2 linked regions of the Mus musculus genome follow. The protein of the gene in region 2 purifies or fractionates together with the protein of the main gene of each other region. This does not show direct contact. Links are inferred from orthologs where the notes say so. Each region holds a gene or a part of one and is shown on either strand. Other genes may lie near its edges. The genes, in order: Pde4dip and Cdk5rap2.

Evidence for each region.
Region 1: the proteins of Cdk5rap2 (region 2) and Pde4dip purify together in Homo sapiens (affinity purification with mass spectrometry; 3 studies listed by BioGRID and IntAct, counting the BioPlex papers as one, with this or other methods). This does not show direct contact. The link is inferred for Mus musculus from reciprocal best matches to the Homo sapiens genes CDK5RAP2 and PDE4DIP.

Annotation. Positions count from the first base shown.
Region 1 is NC_000069.6:97,694,141-97,703,796, forward strand, and holds part of Pde4dip (myomegalin), read right to left. Parts: intron 9,279-9,656; coding exon 9,027-9,278; intron 8,228-9,026; coding exon 8,096-8,227; intron 7,538-8,095; coding exon 7,418-7,537; intron 5,845-7,417; coding exon 5,655-5,844; intron 5,094-5,654; coding exon 4,969-5,093; intron 3,075-4,968; coding exon 2,850-3,074; intron 1,859-2,849; coding exon 1,739-1,858; intron 979-1,738; coding exon 752-978; intron 1-751. UniProt on the Homo sapiens protein: Functions as an anchor sequestering components of the cAMP-dependent pathway to Golgi and/or centrosomes.
Region 2 is NC_000070.6:70,263,020-70,272,675, forward strand, and holds part of Cdk5rap2 (CDK5 regulatory subunit-associated protein 2), read right to left. Parts: coding exon 9,625-9,656; intron 4,030-9,624; coding exon 3,456-4,029; intron 1,705-3,455; coding exon 1,472-1,704; intron 1-1,471. UniProt on the Homo sapiens protein: Potential regulator of CDK5 activity via its interaction with CDK5R1. Negative regulator of centriole disengagement (licensing) which maintains centriole engagement and cohesion. Involved in regulation of mitotic spindle orientation.

The sequences.
Region 1 (9,656 bases), on a different chromosome or scaffold from region 2:
GCATGGGACTCAAGTTTCCTGCATCACCAAGCACAGGAGATAGACCTGCTGAAATCCCTGGCTTTCCCTTACAGTTCTGGGACAGCTGGTCCCTTTGTCTAGAGTCTTCCCCCAGGATGCCCTACAAGCTTTCAAAACTCATTCCTGTGTTACATCCTCTAAGAAATTGTACCTTCCATGTCTGTAATGCAACCACAGAGGACAGACTGCTCCTCACACTGTGTTTATGGTACCTTATTTTGCATATCAACAGGGAACGCTATCTTGTTCTTTAGTAGTGGGTCCTTGTAGAGGAGGCTATCCTTTGCAAGGACCCATGAGTGTCCAGCTTCTCAAACAACTTTGTCATTGGTGCCTACTCCCTCTCAACTACTAAGCTCCCTGGAGAGTTTTGATGGCTTTCTCCCCTCCTCTGCTCAGTCTGAACAGGGCAACCTGGGTTATCAGGTTTGCTCCCTTCCACATATGCAAGTTCATATGGATGCCTGTCCGCACGATTGACTTTAGTCTACCTAGCTGGGGCTGTATGCCAGCATCCTTATCATGAAGTGCAGGGTTTTCTGAAGTTCTTGGTCAAAATATCAAGTCAGCCTGTTCTGTAGCAGAGTGAAAACAGGAGACAGAGAAGGGCCTGGGTGGGATAAACACAAGCCACTTCCCGGCTGCTGGGAGATGGGAAGCCTAGAAGTAAGGACTTCGCAAAGAAGGTGCAGCCAGAGTACGAGCGTAACTAAGAGGTTCAGGTAATTACCTCTGTGTCCTGAGCTTCTTGCCCAGGGATGCTGCGTGCTGACCTCATGAGAGACAGTATCTTTTGAATCAGCAGCTTGCCTTCCCCAATCTGCTGTTGCAGAGCATCGTAGTCATCAACATGGCCGATGACGTGTCTTCCGTGTTTGTTGGCAAATGGGCCATCGGTAGCATCGACCTCCAGCTTGGGAGGGTTCTTCATTGCTGCAGAATCATCTGAACTTAGCTCTGACAAAGAAGCAAAAGTAGGATCCATTGTTACATATGATAACGACCTCAGTTCGAACTCCAAGGGGATAATGAAAGAGGCAAGGAGCGAGTCAGCCTTCAAAACTATAGGATGGCAGAGTCCACAGAGCATTCCGTGTTCTGTATAATCATTCTTATATCACTTTGATAGACACATCGTTACTGGGTTGTGGTAGTGTCACCAGACAGAATTTCATTTTGATGGCATTAACTTATTGGGAAGACACATCTTAACTGTGGTCAGGAGTGTTCTCTAGACAGGCTATCCTGAGCCTGACAGAGTTTGGCAGGGGCTCTAAGCACTAGCATACATGCGTTCCTGGCTCTCTGATTCTGATGTCAGATGCTATGGGAGAAGCTCCCTTAAGCTCCTGTGACACACTTGCTCTGGTGGAGTGTAACCTGCAGGGGTGAGCCAGAAGCACACCTTTCTCACCTGCTTTGCTTTCTCAGGAAACTTGGTCACAGCAAAAAGAAAAGATATTGTGACATCTTTCAACAGGTGAAATATTCAGGGTAAATACTATTAATGTGTAAGTTTCTAGGTAAAGAATGATGAATACAGGAGCCGTACTCAAGGGCAGAGCAATGACAGAGCAACCAAGGCAGAGGACTGTGCATAGCACGAGACTGAGAAAGATCTCTAGGCACAGGTACGGCAGGTTCAGAGAGCCAACCGAAGGTTGTTTGCGTCAATAATTCCCCATCACCACCTGAGTCCTTTCACCGCTTTATTTACCGTTGTTTGTCCTGGTGACAATGGCATGGTCTGAGCCAGGAGCGGAGCAAGAAGAGTTGGGGAGGACCATGGCTGGGGAATTCAAGCCAACGTCCCGCACTGGAGGGGAAGCAGCGGAACCTAGGGAATGAAACAGCCACTGTGTCAGGTCTGCCAGAACGCTGCACACTGAGCCACACAGTGCATGCCTAGCCCAAGATCAACCTCGGAACCAGCACTCACAGGCCACAGCACAGGGAGGCGGCAGGGCACCTAGTGTGCGCTCTTCTATTGATGTGAATGTTTCATGAGAATGTCATTTCTAGTTGAAAAAATCGGTAGGTATTTTATAAGACCGATTTTGGATATAATTTTGGATGTAGGGTCTAGTACCATCATGACTGGAAGTGAAATGCAAATGTGCACAGATGTACATAATATAGATGTTAACATGTAGAAGAACACTTGACACGGCACTGAGAAAACAAATAGTTTACCGTGGAATGAATGGGTTCGCAAAGGGTGCAGTTCAGCAGTTTGGCCATCACCCTGGATGTTAGAAACTACAGCAAAGCTCAGGCACCTGGTCCTGGTCCTGATTCTTAGACCCAGTGACCCTTGCTTGCCTACTAACTGTCTTGGGATTCAATTTTCTCATGAGAAACACAGAAGAGGGGAAAGTGCCCTATTTCAAAAAATTTGTATATATGAGGAAACTGGTAAATTCCAAAGCACTACATAAATGTGAGGAATCAATCCTTATTGTTTCAAGCCTTTGACAATTATTTTATTTAATACTATAGAAAACCATACGGGCTATATTTTTTTTTATAAGCCCCATTTTCAAGTGGAGTAAACTAAGAGTAAGACACTTGAGCGTTTAAGACAAAGTAAGTTTCAGATGTAATTACCTCTGTGCCCTGAGCTTCAAGTCCAGGGATGCTGCATGCTGGCTTGTGAGAAGCAAACTCAGAATCTGGAGACAGGCCTGATCTTAACTGCCAGGCTGTCACTCGGGAGGCCCCAGAACATCCCCAGATTCTGTCTGACCCTCACTGATGGGTTCAGCAAGACTGTCCCGTCCCACAGACATCCCAGAGCAGAGGGCTCTGGCTCTCCTCTTCTTCCCTACCTTGGTGCAGGTTTGCTGGCTCTGCCTTGTCTGGGAAGCTCTGGCCAACAGCGATGGGGCCGAGACTGGCTTTGCCAGCACCACGATCCATCTGCTGTTCCAGCTGTAGCCGAAGACGGTTGTTCACTTCAATGCTCTGCTCCAACTGTCCTCTCAGAGCTCGAATCTCTGCCACCAGGCAGCTTAACTCACCCGGGACTTGGTGACAGGAATCTAGGCTAAAAGCTGAAAGTAGAAGGGAGGACACCTAATGGCACCAGTATGCATTTCCATGTAATAGTCAGATATTGCTCTGTGACATTCCTTTCTGCCAAGGGTCCCACTGGAGTCTCAGGGGCTTGGCCACACGTCTGTGGGATACAACCTTCTCATTCAGCCCTGGGAGCACAGCAAGGTTGCATATAACTAGCCTGGGATTTCTCTGAGGGTCAGATTAGTCATGTGTGCCCATGAGGCGTTTGGACTGGCAGGTGAGAATATGCCTACTGCGTCATCTCCCTGTTAAACTTTGTACTGCAGGCTAGAAAGCAGGTCAGCACTGAACGAAAAAGGAGTGAAGGTCGAGGGAGGACAACTGACGGATTCCATATGCAGGGAGGATAATCCGAACACGTGGGGCTTCTGGGGACAAAACACGGGAAGTCAGTCAGGTCTTAGACCTGGGCTCAACATTCCTAAGTGAAGTTTCAATTTCTCTTCACCACTTACCACACGCATTTGATATGGAAGGATAAAAAGATCTAATCAACAGTCCAACCTGAGAGCCACTTATATTTTGAAGGGCAGAATTAGTTTTGGATTTTACCAAGACTTTATCTATACCTCCAACTACCTGCAGGGCGCAGCTGCCCTCAGCCCTCAGGCCTTAGCCCAACACATAATTATTTTTGTCACCGGCTACGTGGACAGTCTAAGCAGACAGAGACTGGCTGTCCTCCCACCTCTTCAGGAATGCTTTGTCATCAAATGAGTACAGGAAAAGCCTGCAGCTTTAGCTACCTTGCTGGATTTTGGAATTCAAATGAAGAATTAGTAGTAATTGGTTTGAAATGAACTCAGGAAGGCCCATGCACTAACAGAACACAGCATGAAAAGGATACACAAACCCAGTGTGTGTGTGTGTGTGTGTGTGTGTGTGTGTGTGTGTGTGTGTGTGTGTGGTGCAGGGGAAGGGTGGTCATGATGAAGCAGCTTCATGGATGAAGGTTCTAGTGTGTTTTCTCTTCCTCTCATTCCAAGTTCTCACTAACTTTTGACTGTTTTTTGAAAAAAATATTCCCAGCATTCATTGCCCTTATCTTCCAGTTGTACCATATCTCTTATCACAATTTTAAATTTTTTTGAAATTATATCATTTCACCCTTCCCTTTCAACCATATAACCACCCCCTTCCAGCTCATGGCCTAATTGTTTCACACACACACACACACACACACACACACACACACCTGCTCAGTCCCTATAATGTCACTCCTGTGTTTTCTGGGCTGAGCATTTGATGGTGGATAACCAGGTGATGCACTCTTCCCTAGGGCCTGTGGTCCTCTGCCCAGGGCTGGGGCCTTATTTGCTATCCCCCTTCTGAATTAGCATGGCTATTGCTGTCCTTTATCTCCACAGTAGGACCTTGTCTCTTGATCTAAAAACACTGCTACATTTATCCAAAATTCTTCCCAGACTGGAGGTCTCCTAAGTCCTGACTCTAGTATGTTCCATAGACTCAGCATCTTAAAACTCTGGAGCCGTCTTCCTGGAAAGTAAACTCTGGTCTTGAATTTTAGGCTTTCTATGTGGCAGCAGCCTCCCTTCCCACTGCCCTGACTTCTTACCTCTCCTTTCTTTTGGTTTTGAGTCGGTTTCTCCACTTGGGGAAGGGAGGCGGGATAGATGCTGATGGTATGGGCTGTCATGGTCTGTCCTTCAGCACAGGTAAGGATCCTTTCAGATGGTGACAGCCCTAGGGTATTTCTTTATATAAACCATGCTATAATCTTGCTCCTGATTAAGTTGCTTTTTTTTATTAAGTGGGTGAAGTGATCTTTCAGTCTGTCCTTAAGGGTACCCAGGCTTGATCTGCTCATGTCAACCCTTGGGCTTTGGTGAGAATGGGGGCTCATACCTTTCAAGGCCTTCTTGGGATTTTCACAGAGGGACTCGTAGATCTGGAGCTCTGACTGCAGGGACAGGGAGAGCTGCTGTTTCTCTTCGCACTGTTGTTGCAGGAGGGCCAGCTTGTGCTGCAGCCTGCCAAGGAGAGGCAAGGGTTTACTGAGCCAAGTGGGAGAAATGAGCCTCGAGCCAACCTTTGCCTCAGTTGGCCTGGTAGGATGGCCTGGCCATCACATTCATTTGGCAGACTCTGGGGCAGGTAAAGTTAGTTAGCCTGAAGTTGGAACACTAGCTCTGTGTGCAGGCAGCAGTGTAAGCACACTACAAGCCCCTCTCTGCCCCACAGTGCTCTCCACATTGACAGAAAGATGCAGGGCTTCCACTGGGATAACAACTTGCAGTTTATGGCAAGAGTGATGTCATGCATCTAGTGAGAAGGGTGGGACTGCTCTCCTGCCAGTCTCTGACAGATGGAAACCTCTGTAATAGGATTTTATCACTCTACTTCATACTATAAAAACACTATTCTCTCTTTTTGTGTGTGTGTCTCAAATAGAGTCTTCCTTTTGCTCCAAGTGACCAGTGAGGCAGAAGAGTAAAGAAGGAACTGAAGTTCCCAAAGGAGGAAACTACTGATTTGTCAATATCCCTTCTGCACTGAGAAGCCGGGCCATTCCATATCAAGGCCCTGCCTACCTGGAGTTGTTTTCCTGGAGCGACAGCCTCTCCTCTCGGAACTGCACGATCTCATCCTGCTTCTCCTGCAAGTCTTCCAGGAGCTGCTGCCGCTCAGCCTTCTGCTGCTCCAGCTCCTTCTCCAGCTCCTGAAGCTGGGATCTGGAGGAGAGCAGAGCCTCCCGCAGGTGATCCACTTCCTGGGAGTGTCCTGATGAGCGGGACACAGGGGTATTTATGTCATGGCCTGAAGCCCATGAGAAAGACAAACCCAAGCACACGTGAGGCCAGGGGAAGGAAGGTCCCGTGTGGCCGAGCAGTCTGGCTTAGTGGACCCTACGTACTGGGGCTTGGGTGGCAGTGGTGTTTGTGGTATCTGACCCTCCATTTAAGAACACCTGCCCTAGCTCTTAGAGGAGACAGCGAGTTCCCGAAGCTCAGCGTTTTCTAGGTGTTCGTGGGCAGCTATTCAACTGTACACCTCCAGTCTTATCAAAGACCAGCACTGATTTCTTGTTTGTGGTTTTTAGAACATATTCTTTTTCAATTCTTTTGAAAATGTGGACAGCTGGTGTTTTCTGGCCATGTGATACCTCTCTGGTCAAAACTTCTTAAAGATGATCTGTAGGGACTCTTTATATAAGGCCAGTCCTTGGGTATAACTGTGTTCATTTGGAACTCTTACTATTTCCTATCTGTGAGGCTGCCCTCCTCTGTCCCAGCATGCACTGGTAGATTAATTTCTCTGCCTTGCCCTCATCCAGCAGTCTTAGTCATCCTCCAGCAAGGGCCCTGCCTCTCATGTCTTTCTGAACTGACTTAGTACAAAAGTACTAAGGAGTTTCCTTAGAAATAGTTCTTCTCGTCTTTTGCCTCCACAAGGATTCTTTCATTCTGGACTTAATCCTTTGATATATCGCTCTTAGTCTTTTAATGGCCATTAAGTAGATTTTTTTTGTAAATAAAAATCATTTGTTACTAGTTATACATTGATTTAATCAAGTCAACTAATACTATGTAATTTGCCTCTCAGGCCACATAGGCAATAATGCCCACTTATAGATGACCATTAAGTAGGGTTGGGAAAGTTCTAGAGAACATGGAACCATAGGAGGACCGCCGGAGAGCAGCCTGAAGAGGACTGTAGGGAAAGGCAGAGGAATGGCAGAACAGGACCCAGACAGCTGTCCAGAGCTGTACTTATTTGAGGCTGTATGAGAAAATACACACAAGCATGCTCTCTGGTTTTATGGTTCCAATCAGGTGTGAGCAGACAGAAGGGGATGGATTCCAAACTGACCGGTCAGGCACTGTTATTGAATATAGGCAGGCTTTCAAAAGGGATAACCTTCCTAGAGCCATTCTGTCTTAGAACCTAGGAGCCTGAGGGCGAGGGTTAGGATCTCTTATGGCAGTGGTTCTCAACCTTCTTAATGCTGAAACCCTTTAATACAGTTCCTCATGCTGTGGTGATCCCCAGACATAGAGTTATTTTTGTTTTTACTTCATAACTGTAATCTTGCTTCTGTCATGAATCATAAAACGTCTGTGTTTTCTAAAAGTCTTAGGCAACCCCTATGAAAGGGTCACTTGACCCTCCTCAAAGGGTCTTGAACCACAGGTTGAGAACCACTGCCTTGGGAGTAGCCCTTTGAAGACAGATTAGCAATGTAAATATTGGGCTGGTAACTAAACCTTCTCTTTGCTTTTTCCAACTGGTGATTGCCCTGGCGAGGATAGAGATAGTCCTAGGAGGACTGTAAGTCTGGGTTTACACAACCTACCTCTGGAAGCATGGCTGAGCCGTGTCTGCAGGCTTTGGTTTTCTTCCCTTAGGGCTCTGTTCTCATTGTAGAGCTGAGGCATGGACTCCAGGCCCTGACTGTAGAAGTGAGAGGTGGAACCTGTCCCGGACAACACACACGTCCCATGTTACATCCCCTCAAAGATCTGCTGTCCCAACCCAGCAGCAAGCTCCAGCCCTCAAGGCCTGGGATTAACTTGAGCATAATGGCTGGATGCTGAGCAGTGTGTGTGTGTTTTCAGACCATGCCGTCTTTGTGTGCACCCAGCACTTGTACCCATTATATCAGTGTAGGACGCGTCTCCTAACTAGCTGGGGAGGAATGAGCAGTTGCATATACAAAGAGTGACATCCAAATGACAACATCTTGTGGGATGGGGGAGGTAGGGACTAATGGCCTCCTGAGTGAAGTGGGTCGGGGGTGGGTCTTCATAGACCTGCCTCTACTGGTTATCAATCACAAGGACACAGTGCATATAAACAGGTTAAGGACGAGAGGCCAGATCTTTGTCTGAGGAAAGTCAGTCTCTGAGCTCAGAGTGCACAGCAGAAATAACGGCTCTCCATACCCTCCAACCCTCGCCTGACTGTGACAATCCAGTAAAGAGTATCGGACTGATTAGAAAAGCGTGAGGCTCTGCCTAGTGGCCTTGCCTACCGTTTTCTCGGGCAGTGGAGCTGAGCCTGTGCTGCAGCTGCTCCCGCAGCCGGTCATTGACACATATGGACTCCTCCAGGCGCTGGCGCAGGTTCCGGATCTCACCTAAATGCTCTTCCAACAGGTCAGCGCCTGCAGCCATCATCCCCGGACAGGGCAGAAGCAGGAGACACAAGGCTGGTTACTAGGGTGAGGTGAGCTCTGCCAGTGGACAACCCAGCCTGTCCCCCAATGTCGCCTTCCTTTTGCCCACAGTGTCCTTTCACACAGTCAATCAGCTCCACTTAGTGACACAGGAGCTTCATGACCATAGGGTGGCCTCTTGCTAAGGAAAGCCCACGGGCCTCCATTCTTGGCGAACGGGGGCTTCAAATCACTGAGAAAATAACCGACAGATCTAACTGAGCCCAACTGCCATCTGGAAAGGCGGATCCACCTCTCGGGTGTGGTTTTGGGGGTGAAAAGGAAGGCCTTACTGCCTTTTTTTTTTTTTTTCCAATTCCTTTTCCTGATAAGCTACTCAATAGCTTTTAGCAAAATCCATTCTTTCCCACCTAGAAAAAAGACCTAAGGTAAAAACCACATGCCTTCAACCTACCAATCGTAGCTAAGGACTGATGCTCGATGCTTTCACATGTCACTTTTAGTCAGGCAGGAAGAAGGAATCCCCTGCATGGTTCTAGGACCCCGAAGGACCCAGGAGAGGCAGCACTGCTAGGTTACAAGTGAACTGACTCACTTCTGGCTTTCTCTTGGAAATTCAGTTTCTTGCTGTTGGGACCGGGCTGCATTGTGCTTTTTGCCATAGTTATGCTCTTCTATCTGCTGTGACTGGATTTTGTGCATAGAGCATGTATGAGGGGTAGAGACTGTTGTATCCTTTCTATGTATTTCCTGACCGAGGAGAGAAGGTCCCAGCTCTGTGCCTTACCAGTGGGCTTGGAGTTAAGCTGGTACATCGAGGAGCCTGAGGACAGCTCCCCAGAGACGCTCCCTTTCTGGGGCCTCATCATGTCCCACTGGCCGCTGCTTCCCAGGTATCCAGGCTCCAGGATTCGTCCCAGCTCTATGGTGCTCCTTGTCGGAGTGTGGGGCTGGGCAGGGTTGATGTAGTGGGGAGAGCTAGCTTCAGTCTGGTTGCTGAGCAGCGTGGATGTGGAGGCGGGAGGGGCAATGCTAACACCTGGGCAGATAGAAACACAGTGAGAGAGGGTATCAGTAGCCAAGAGCGGTAAGGGAATCGAGATGGCTGAGAATGGAGACTAGCAGTGGACACGGGGTCGGGGAGGGGGCAGGGGGAGGTTAGTACCCCAGTTCATCACAGAATATCGGTTAGATGAAGACTCAAAGCCTCAAGCCTGACTTTCACCCTCTGCATTTCTGAGCAGGAGACACCCAGAGGAGGGTCTGAAAAGCCCAGGGGCTCCATTCCTCGTTCCTACTGTTATTCCTCATGATCGAATCCAGGAAAGTTCCGGAAGTAGGAGACATCCCATAGTTAGGGATTAAGAATGTGATGGGCTATCTGACTGGGCACACCCACAGGTGGTAGCATCTGTTT
Region 2 (9,656 bases):
AGCTGGTGCCAGAGGCAACTTTCCCCTCACCTCCCTGGCCAAGGCCAGGGCCAGGACCAGCTGAAGAAAACACAACAAAGCATTATGGGCTTGGTCAATCCAGTTTTATCTGTCTGACACCCACTTCCTTCTGCACTAGTAAGTGAAAGTGAGCTTATTTAGACCGCATGGTCCAGAGAGAACAGCCTTTATCAAGCTGCATATAGGCCAGTGCTCCTATACCCTGATCCTCAGGGCTCTTAGGGAACAAATGCCAGGAAGCCAGTCTATGACAGGTCTCTAGGAAAACCACTAATGGCTATCAGATGGGGGAACTACCCTGTGTTTATCCTGGAATTAAACTGTACATACAGGGACCAAGGTGAACTATCGGTTCTCTGTGAGTGGAGGCAAAAGAACAGTTAAATCTGGCATTACCAAGTGCCCTGTGTCTCTAGGAAACTTACTGCTTTGATTAAGGCCAGGTTCCTAACCTGCAAAGCACACAGATCTGAGGGTTTAGCCTCAATTTACCATTAACACATCTGACCAAAAGTACTTGGTCATGAGAACCACATGTCACTCATAAAGCCAAGTCCTAACAAAACCAAGAATGGTGGTTTGAATCAGAATGGCCCCCAGAGGACCAAATATTTGAATACTTAGCCAAAAGGAAGTAGTACTATTTGAGAGCATTATAAGGATTAAGAGGTGTGGATGTGTTGGAGGAAGTGTGTCACTGGGAGAGGACTTTGAGGTTCAAAGGCCTACGCCAGGCCAGTGTCGTACTCCCCAACCCCTACAAATAAGGTAGGTCTCAGCTACTGTTTGTACTCTGCCATTTTCCCCACCATGATGACAATGGACAAAACCTCTGAAATTGTAAACAAACTCCAAATAAATGCTTCCTTTTTCACAAGAGCTGCCTTGGTCATGGTGTCTCTTTAAAGCAACACAACAGTGACTATGACACTGAGTTATTGTCCAATTCCAAGAGCACTGTGATGCTCCAACCAAGTAATGTCTACAATATCAAGAATACAAACAGATCTAGCGGGAACAGACTTATGCGAAGAGATGAGTTGTAAAACCCCAGCATGGCCATGCATTCTCAACACAACCACAGAGAAGGTACTTCCTCTGGTGGACCACTCTACATACCATAAAACTGGACTCACTCACTCACTAACTCACTAGCTTCCTGACTATGAAAACCAAGAAAAATGGAGGAGCGGGGACAGTGATGTCGGTGAGTGACAGGACTGTTGCTGTCTTATGACAGAGATTGTCCAGGAGCACTTACCTAATAGGAGGGCTGAGAAAAACAAGGGGGAACAAGAGAAGCAAAGCGCAGGACTGTGAAGTAGAAGGCTGTTTCGGCTTAATGGCAGAACAGCCAGGTTTGTGTGTACAGCAAAGCCAACGAATCAAACCTGCTGGTGCCCACACCGAAGGAGCCGGAGAGTCACAGTGAGGGCCTCTACCTACGTACCATGGAGAAACAGCCTCTCCAGTTGCTCTAGCAGTCCAGCACACTGTGTCAGCTGCTCCCGGAAGCCCTCGGCCACGCAACTGTCCACATCACTGGCCTGCAGAAGCTCCTCAAACGCCTTGATCATGGTGCTCATGTGTTGACGGTAAATGACACAGATGCCATGGCTATCCTTAATTTGCTGTCGCTGAAGGGAGAGCTCCCTCGCTTGGGACTGAACCAATGAATCGTATCTGATAAAAGAGGGAAGGAAAATGTGTGTGTCATTTTCGAATTGAATTTTTGTGACCTCAACACTAATTGGAAAAATGACAGAGCATAATTTCTGAAAGCCCGTAGCTGTACAAGCATATATACTTTAGAAAAATTGAAACTGTACAAGGTCACCCCTTCTTTGAGTTCAAACAGCCAACAAATGCTTGAACAGAGATTCTTCTGCAATATTTGTAACCTTAGAGAGCCCCCAATTAAAGCATAGATTGGCAAGGACTCAGGAGCACAATTAGTTTCCATACACTCTTCAAAGACACTATTCTGAATTGTAGAAACAAATGCCCCAAGGTCAGGGACCCACTGAAAATTCTCACCAAGTACAAGTATGTATACGGCAAGGGTAAAAAGAAAGGACTCCCTGCTTCCAACGGAAAGAGTCAGTTGGACGCCAGGCCACCACCTTACTGAGTGACTAGGTCCCATCAGTCATGGGATCAAGTTATCGTAGGTCACCTGGTTCTCCCAGGCTTCTAACAAATGGATTCTTGCAGAGAAGGAAAGCTTTCTCAAAGGTATTTAGAGCTAAAGCTTTGCTTTTCAAACCCACAGAATGTGAAGAGTTATCATGCAATACCACCCCCTCACCACCAGGTGCCACCCTTCTCTACGCAGGCCCAGGAGTCGGTAAGAGCAAGCCTGCAGCTTCCTCAGACGAGGAAAAACAGTCACAGCAAGCTGTTCACCATGACCACTGTTAATACCAATACACTACAGGCAAATCACAGCAGCGCCATCTCAAGGGTGGGGTAGTTCCGGGGAACACTAAGAGTGGGCAGTATAGGCTGGAACCCTGGCAGGGGCTCTGACCACGGGCAAGTCACAGAAATCTCTAGGAGTCTCAGTTGCTCTGCTAACTAAAACAAGTTGAGAATGCCTCCTGCTCAGTGTGTCTGGAACTAAATAGTTGAGTTCTTTCCCAGTGGAATGGTACACACTTGCCATCCAGCACTCAGGAGGCAGAGGCAGGAAGAATATGAGTTTAAGAGCAGCTTCAACTATGTGGTGAAACTCCCATCTCAAAACAAAATCAAACAAACACGTCCGAGCCTGAAGGCTGATAAGTTTCCCTCAGTCTTGCTGCTTGGGTAGCCTTGAAAAATAAAATATCACTCTATCTCTTGACAATCCAGAACAGCGCTTTTCTCAAATTAGTAACGAATGAAGGTCAAATTTACAGACTATCCCGTTTTTTTGCCATATCTCACGAAGCCAGTGTACATATTTATAACTATAAAGCATTATCTTCATGACCCAAGAATTTCTTGCTTTCTACACAGGCTTATTTCTCTAAGATGACCTTAAAGGGTAAAGATATGAAAAACATTTATATTCCTCCCAACCTGCTTAGGACATCCATTTTATTTCCACAACAAGGCAAAAGCCAATAACAGAGTTCAGAAATAAACACAGCAGGCAGCTCAGTAAACACACTGCAATCCACCGTCTGATGGCTGTGGAGTTTCTACACTGAGTCCTCAGCCTGAGGAGGGCAACTCCTGCCCTGCCAGTCTCAGAAGTTGCCCAGCTCCTAACATACGCATGCATAGAGTGAAGCTGTGTGGCTGCCTGAAGCCCAAGTGAAGCCTTCCCTAGGGTATACTCTACCCACCCAGGGAGTAGCATTCGCTCAAGAGCTGCTGGGCTCCTACATAGCAACGACCTGGGAAACCTGCAAGCCTAATGAGGAGGATGAAGCAGGAATAGGATGTACCTTGATGGCGAGAGGTCTTGGAACTTGTTCTGCAGGTCATGGATTTCACCGAAAAGTTCCAAGTTCAAGTCCTGCTCCTTCTGTAGCTCCTGCTCCTGGTCCACCAGCTGCTGCTTGAGGCTCTCTAGCATCTTGCCATCAATCATCTCCGGGGTTAGTGGACGGAGGATTTTCATATGCTTCACATATCGTACTTGGTGCAAACTTGAAAATGTCATCTCTTCCTCATCAATATGGCCCTTAGGCTTGTTCAAGCCATCTTGGGCCCCTTCTGTCCCACACAAAACTGTGATAATAGCCTCACTGCACTGAGAGTGCTTCAGTAGCTGGACAATGATGTTCCGGTAGCCTTCCAGCTCGGTTTGCAAGTCGTGGATTTTCTGTTTTAAGTCTTCTGTGTCATCAGGGATATTGATATTCTCAGACTGGTCAGTTCCATTCACGCTGACTTTAACAGAGAGCTGACTCTTGGAATCCAGGTAAGTGGCTATGGAGGATGGGCCTAGGAGGTCTTCAAGATTCTCTTTGCATGCTGGTAATAAGGCAAGGTCATCAGGTGGACAGATTTCAGAATCTGAAAATCAAATACTAATCTTTGTCAGTGTCTCCTTTTGCTGCAATCAACTTCTTACCTCTACAGCTTCCCACAGTTGAATTCTGGATCTTAAATGTCCCCAAAGCCCATGTATTAAAGGCTTGGTTTATAACACCACTGGAAGGTTGTGCTGTGTTTAGGAGGTGGAGCCTTGTAGAAAAAAAGCATCACTAAAGAGGACTTTTAAGACCCTATCCCCCAAACCCTGGTTTCTAAATGGTTCCTAAACATTATGAGGGTGAACAGGTATACTTTATCAAATGTCCCCACCATGATATTATTCCCTCACCAAAGGCTCAGAGTGACAAGTCCAGGAAGTCATGGACTGCACCCATGAGTCAATATTCTCTGTTATTTCAAGTTGATTGTCTCAGAAATTTCGTCATGCTCTAGAAAGCTGACTAGCATACTATTTTACCATTCAATCCACCCTCTTTGTCATGTTGGAAGCAACCTAGCCCCACACACCATCCATGGCATGTCCCCACAAAGTCATCAGACCCTTCTCCCCACATCAAGCTATTTCACAGTTCCATGTTTTAGCATTTACTGTGTCCAGAATAAATATTTGTCCTTCCGTAGTCAGGCCTAGTTTTCCTTTCTCTGTGAGCCTACCTTTGGACTGTACACTTTTCTGTGTACAATTATGTGCCCCCTTGTCTATGCATCACATACATGTAGGTGCCCATGCAGGTCAGGAGAGAGTGGCTGAACCAGAATTACAGGCAGTTGTGAGCTCAGGAGTTAGGTTTTGATATAGGTCCATTGTAAGTGGGGGTTCTTATCCACTCAGACATCTTTCTAGGCCTGAAAAATCTCTTCTTTAAAATCAAAAGACCTGGTCTCCAACACTGGCTGTGCCACTTTGTTTTAAATAACCTTACTTGAGCAAATTAATGGGCCACTCTGAGCCTCCAGAATTTCACTTGCAAGGTAACAAGAACACCACTCAGGAGAAGAACCAGCAGTATTTGTTGGTTGAGATTATATTGAACAATATCAGAAAAAGACTAACAGGAATAATAAATTCAGCAGTAAATGAATTCAGAGAACAGGAATGCTCCTTGATTCTTTAGAACCAATTCGTCAACGATGGAAGAAGATGTCATCATGGAAGGCATCAAAGCAAAGGCTGGCTCAGGAAAAGGCTTTAAAGACAACAACATGAGCCGGACTAGATGATCTAGGATGGCTTTCAGAAAGACAGTCTGTGGAGCCACAGGTTCTATAATTTGTTCCTCACAGTCTCAAGGCTACTCTTATCATTGTTAACAATGTCAATATCATCATTGGATTTTTGGACAACAGTAGGTACATGCCTTAATAGAAGTATTCCCAATATAGCAGTTCTCCAGTGCTTAATATGTCATCAAGGGGAAACCATGCTGTTCATCTGTTTCTCTGGTATCCGGCACAAGACGGGCGATGGAAAATGTACGTGAAAACTACTGGGCTCAAAGAGGATAAGAAGCAGAAAGAACACCTGATCTCTCAGCAAGGTTTTCTTCTAGGAAGTCATCCTCCAAGATAAGGAAATATATACTAACCTAAGCCCCATAAGTTACATGTGTCCCAGGAAGCCGAGGATGCAGCCTACCACATCTATAGACCACAATGTCATGCTGCAACATCAAAAGATTGAATAGCCCCATGAACATAGAAACCTCATACCATGGCTTGCTTTTGATAGTATGAAGAAGAAATCTTTCTTCCCTCAAAAAACTAAACATAATCTTGATGTGTTTTGTGAAGGAATAAAACATAAAGCATAGAAAAAGGCAACTCCTACACAAATGTCACTTTGAGACCTGGCACTTAGAGTGACAGGGGTATTGTGTATGCTCACACCTTCACTTTAAACTCTGCTCCTAACAAACCAACAAGCATAGCATTCCTATATGTCACCCTTTAGACGCACCCTCAAGGTACTATGGAAACACAATACAAGTAGAAGCTTCCTAAAATATATACTGTCAGAGACCATCCCGTGAGAAAGTGAGCCCTTCACAATCTCCTTAACAAATCAAGGGCCTTGTACTAAGAGCTGGTTGTCACCCCCCTTTCCTCCCTATTCCTTTCCTGGCACCTGAGGCTGTAAAAGCTAAATTATAGTCCCCTCTTCCCTATCTCTTCCTGAGTTCCCATGCCATCCAAGGACATGAGTTACGCCTGAGCCCAGCCTGACCCCCAAGGCCGTCAAGGAGGATCGATGTTCCAGAGATAAGATCCAGAGTGCCCACTGCCTGGCGCCTGACTTCGGCCCCCATGTCAGCAGATGCCCACTTCTTTGTTCTTTGTATAATTCTCCCTAGACCCCTCCCATATTCCCCGAGATGTATGCTTTAAAAAGAAGGCACCTCAGCCTAATAAACGAGACCTTGATAGGTTCAATCTACTTGGTCCTCCGACTCTTCTTTCTTTTACTCCCATTTCCTTCCAGGTTTGCGGTCCCCCTCGCACCCACGAATAACTGAATCCCGCGGGACGGGATAATATACATATATGAAGGTGATCTAAGTGAAATGCCAAACAATGGAGGAGACAGAGTCCCAATTGTTCATCTCTTGTCACCAAATGAAACCTTCAGTCCTGAGATGGGTTACATTTAATTGAATTGTTGGTCAAAGAGGTCCCATAGGAATCTCCAAACAACTCAGGCTGTTGCCAAGGCTACGGGTTGTTCTCACAAACTGTCAGCAAGGCCCCATTACTGAAGAAAACACCTGCATATCTTGTTGAGCATGGAGAAGTCAAGCTGGTATGAACAGTCTTCACTCCCATTTCCTAGGTTCTACTATCTTTGGTAAAGGATGGTCTTATACCTACTACCGAAAGTGAAATGTAAACACCAAGCCAGCCACAAAATCTTTACTCTGCAATGATATTCTGTCTGCAAGAATTGCTAGGGCAATCGTGACTCAAACATTTTGGGAATAACCAATCAATATCTGATTTGACTTCAGGATTACTCCATGAGATGGGATCTATACCTGGCACAGCTTGAGTGACCAAGAAACAGAGACTACATAGCCCAGGGACATAGGGTAAAAACAAATACTACTATTCTTTTTAAAAAACAGCAGTAAAATGACTCCTAATGACATTCTGCTATACTCAGAGCAGTGCCTTGTTTAGCCATCACCAGAGAAATACCATCCTGCAGCAAATGAGACAAATACAGAGACAGCTAGACACAATGCAGAGAATGAAAAACCTTAGAACACACAGACTTAAATGAGATATCTCCATCAAATTCTTCCCCTCAGAGTTCATGGAAATCTCCAGACAAAGATAAGGAAAGAGTCTGAGAGGCAAAGGGGATGGAGGATATCATGAAAATAAGGCCGTCTAAATCAATGTAATTAAAGTTCTCATGAACTCCTAGACTGATGCAGTAGTCACAGGACTGCATAGGTCTGACCCGGGTCCATCCGGTATACATTATGGCTTCCAGTTTAGTGCTGTTATTGGATTTGCACTGAAGGTACAAATCAGTGGTCTCTGATTCTTGTGGCTTCTCTTGAGATATTTATTTTCCTTCTATTGGTTTGTCTTGTTCAATTCCCATGTGATAGTTTTTGTTTCATCTTATTACACATTCTTTTGTATTATTATCCACTAGAAGCCTGTTTACTTTCAAATCAGAAACACGGAGTAGTAGATCGTGACAGGTGAGCAGGTGAGGGGGAACGTGGTGGAGCCGAGCCAGGGGAAACTATAATCAGTATACATTATGTGAGAGAGAAAAAAATCCATTGTCAGTAAAAGGAAAACAAAAACACCACCACCACCACAACCTGTCTTAAGAAGAAGTACCCTCAAAAGTCCACCGTCTACAATAGTTGTGAATTAGCAGAGGCAGGGATTTGACTTCTTAGCTCCAAGGCCAATATATAGCAAGTCTTATGGCCTGCATCAGTAACGCAATGTCACTTTGCTAACCTCTGCTCAGCAGCCCAAAATGAAGTTCTGAAGAAAGCACCTCCACTGTTTGGTTAAAACTGTATGAACGCTGTGAGAAATGTGTATATGTATAATGTGTATAATGTGTATAAGTACACGTCTGAACTCACAGGCTGGCAGGCCTGGGACTTAAGATTATGCATGTACCAAAAGCGGCTTATGTGCCCAGCACCCCACCTGAGTTGTCTGTGTTACTGAAGGCTTTAAGAGCTGGAGGATCTACCCAAACTATAAAACAGAAACACTGCAAATGATGCTTTCTGTTAAACTACTCCTATGATTGGGGTCTCCTATGTCAAAAGCATGAGTAGAGACATCTCTGAAGCCTCAAGAGTAAGGCCAATAGGACCCGGGCAACTTATGGCCTCCATTCACTCCCCAAGCACTTACCAAGGTGTTCTTGGAAAAGGAGCCAAAGGTAAGGTGTTACCCATGGCATGCGGCTCCGAGCCAGGCAGTCAGTGAACAAATTAACTCAACACCAGTATTCAAGTCCTAAGAAAGTCAAAAAGTATGCCCACAAAAGATACATTGAGGGTAGAGACCTCAGAATGAAGCTTCAGCGAGGCAAGGAAAAGGGGAATTCAAGAAGAAGCAGCCACATGTGTATTGCACTGGACGCACACTCCTAAAGATATATACAGCTCAGTGACAAGTGGTTACTGAGAGAGTAAGGCACCATCCAGAGACCTCCACCATTCGCTAGCCATGAACAAGGACCAGGCTCCACAGCTTCTAAAATCAGCACCTCCACTAGGGAGCAAGTGTTCAAACACATGAACCTGTGAGAGGCATTTCACATGCAAACCATAACCCACACTGAGCTAAGCAGCACTTTGCTGCCTGGTACAGGAGCTTTGGACTGAACGCCCAGAACACCCAGAAGAAACACAAGGCCGTGCAGTCGTCCAGGCTGAGGAGAATGCACTGCAGACCTTCTGAGGCCACGGCTCAGTCTTTTTCCAGAGACTGGTTATTCCCTAGCCATCTCATCACAGATTTAGAGTTCCCAATGATCACAACGTTTTATGAAGTGAATTCTATCCAAAACAAGAGTGATTTTGTTTTTAATGAAAAGATAAAACATCTAAGGAAAAGGGAGTAAGCATTAAGCATTGGCTCATCTTGGATAAACAGAAATGTGGATAGTTGTTGTACTGTCCTTTATGTATATCTGTGTGCTTTTAATACTTCATAATTAAAGGGAGGTGATACAACTTGCTGGAGGCCTCGCTGCTCGTACAAAGACAAATTCAACAACAGCTAACATTAAGCTGGATCCTAGTGGCCTGCTACGATCCCATGTCCATGAAGTGTGAGATGCTCTGAGCAATGACTGTGTTATATGAAACAACCTGAGCCCACCTTCTACCTCGAAGAGTCTGATGCTAGACCATTAAGTCCCAAAGACGTTATGATGTTCCCTGACTCTTCTGGCTCCCTCCCAGCTGTGTGACCGACCCTAAGTCAGTAATTTTCAAATTAACCTCACCAGTCCTACATGTTATATGGGAATGCTAATCAAAGCCCTCAAGAGGCCTAGCAAGAACATTGATATAAAACAATCCTGAACAATGTCTAGTACTCAGTAATAGGTGGTTGAATTCTAACCGATCTCAAAGCTTGTATATTGGTCACTGTCC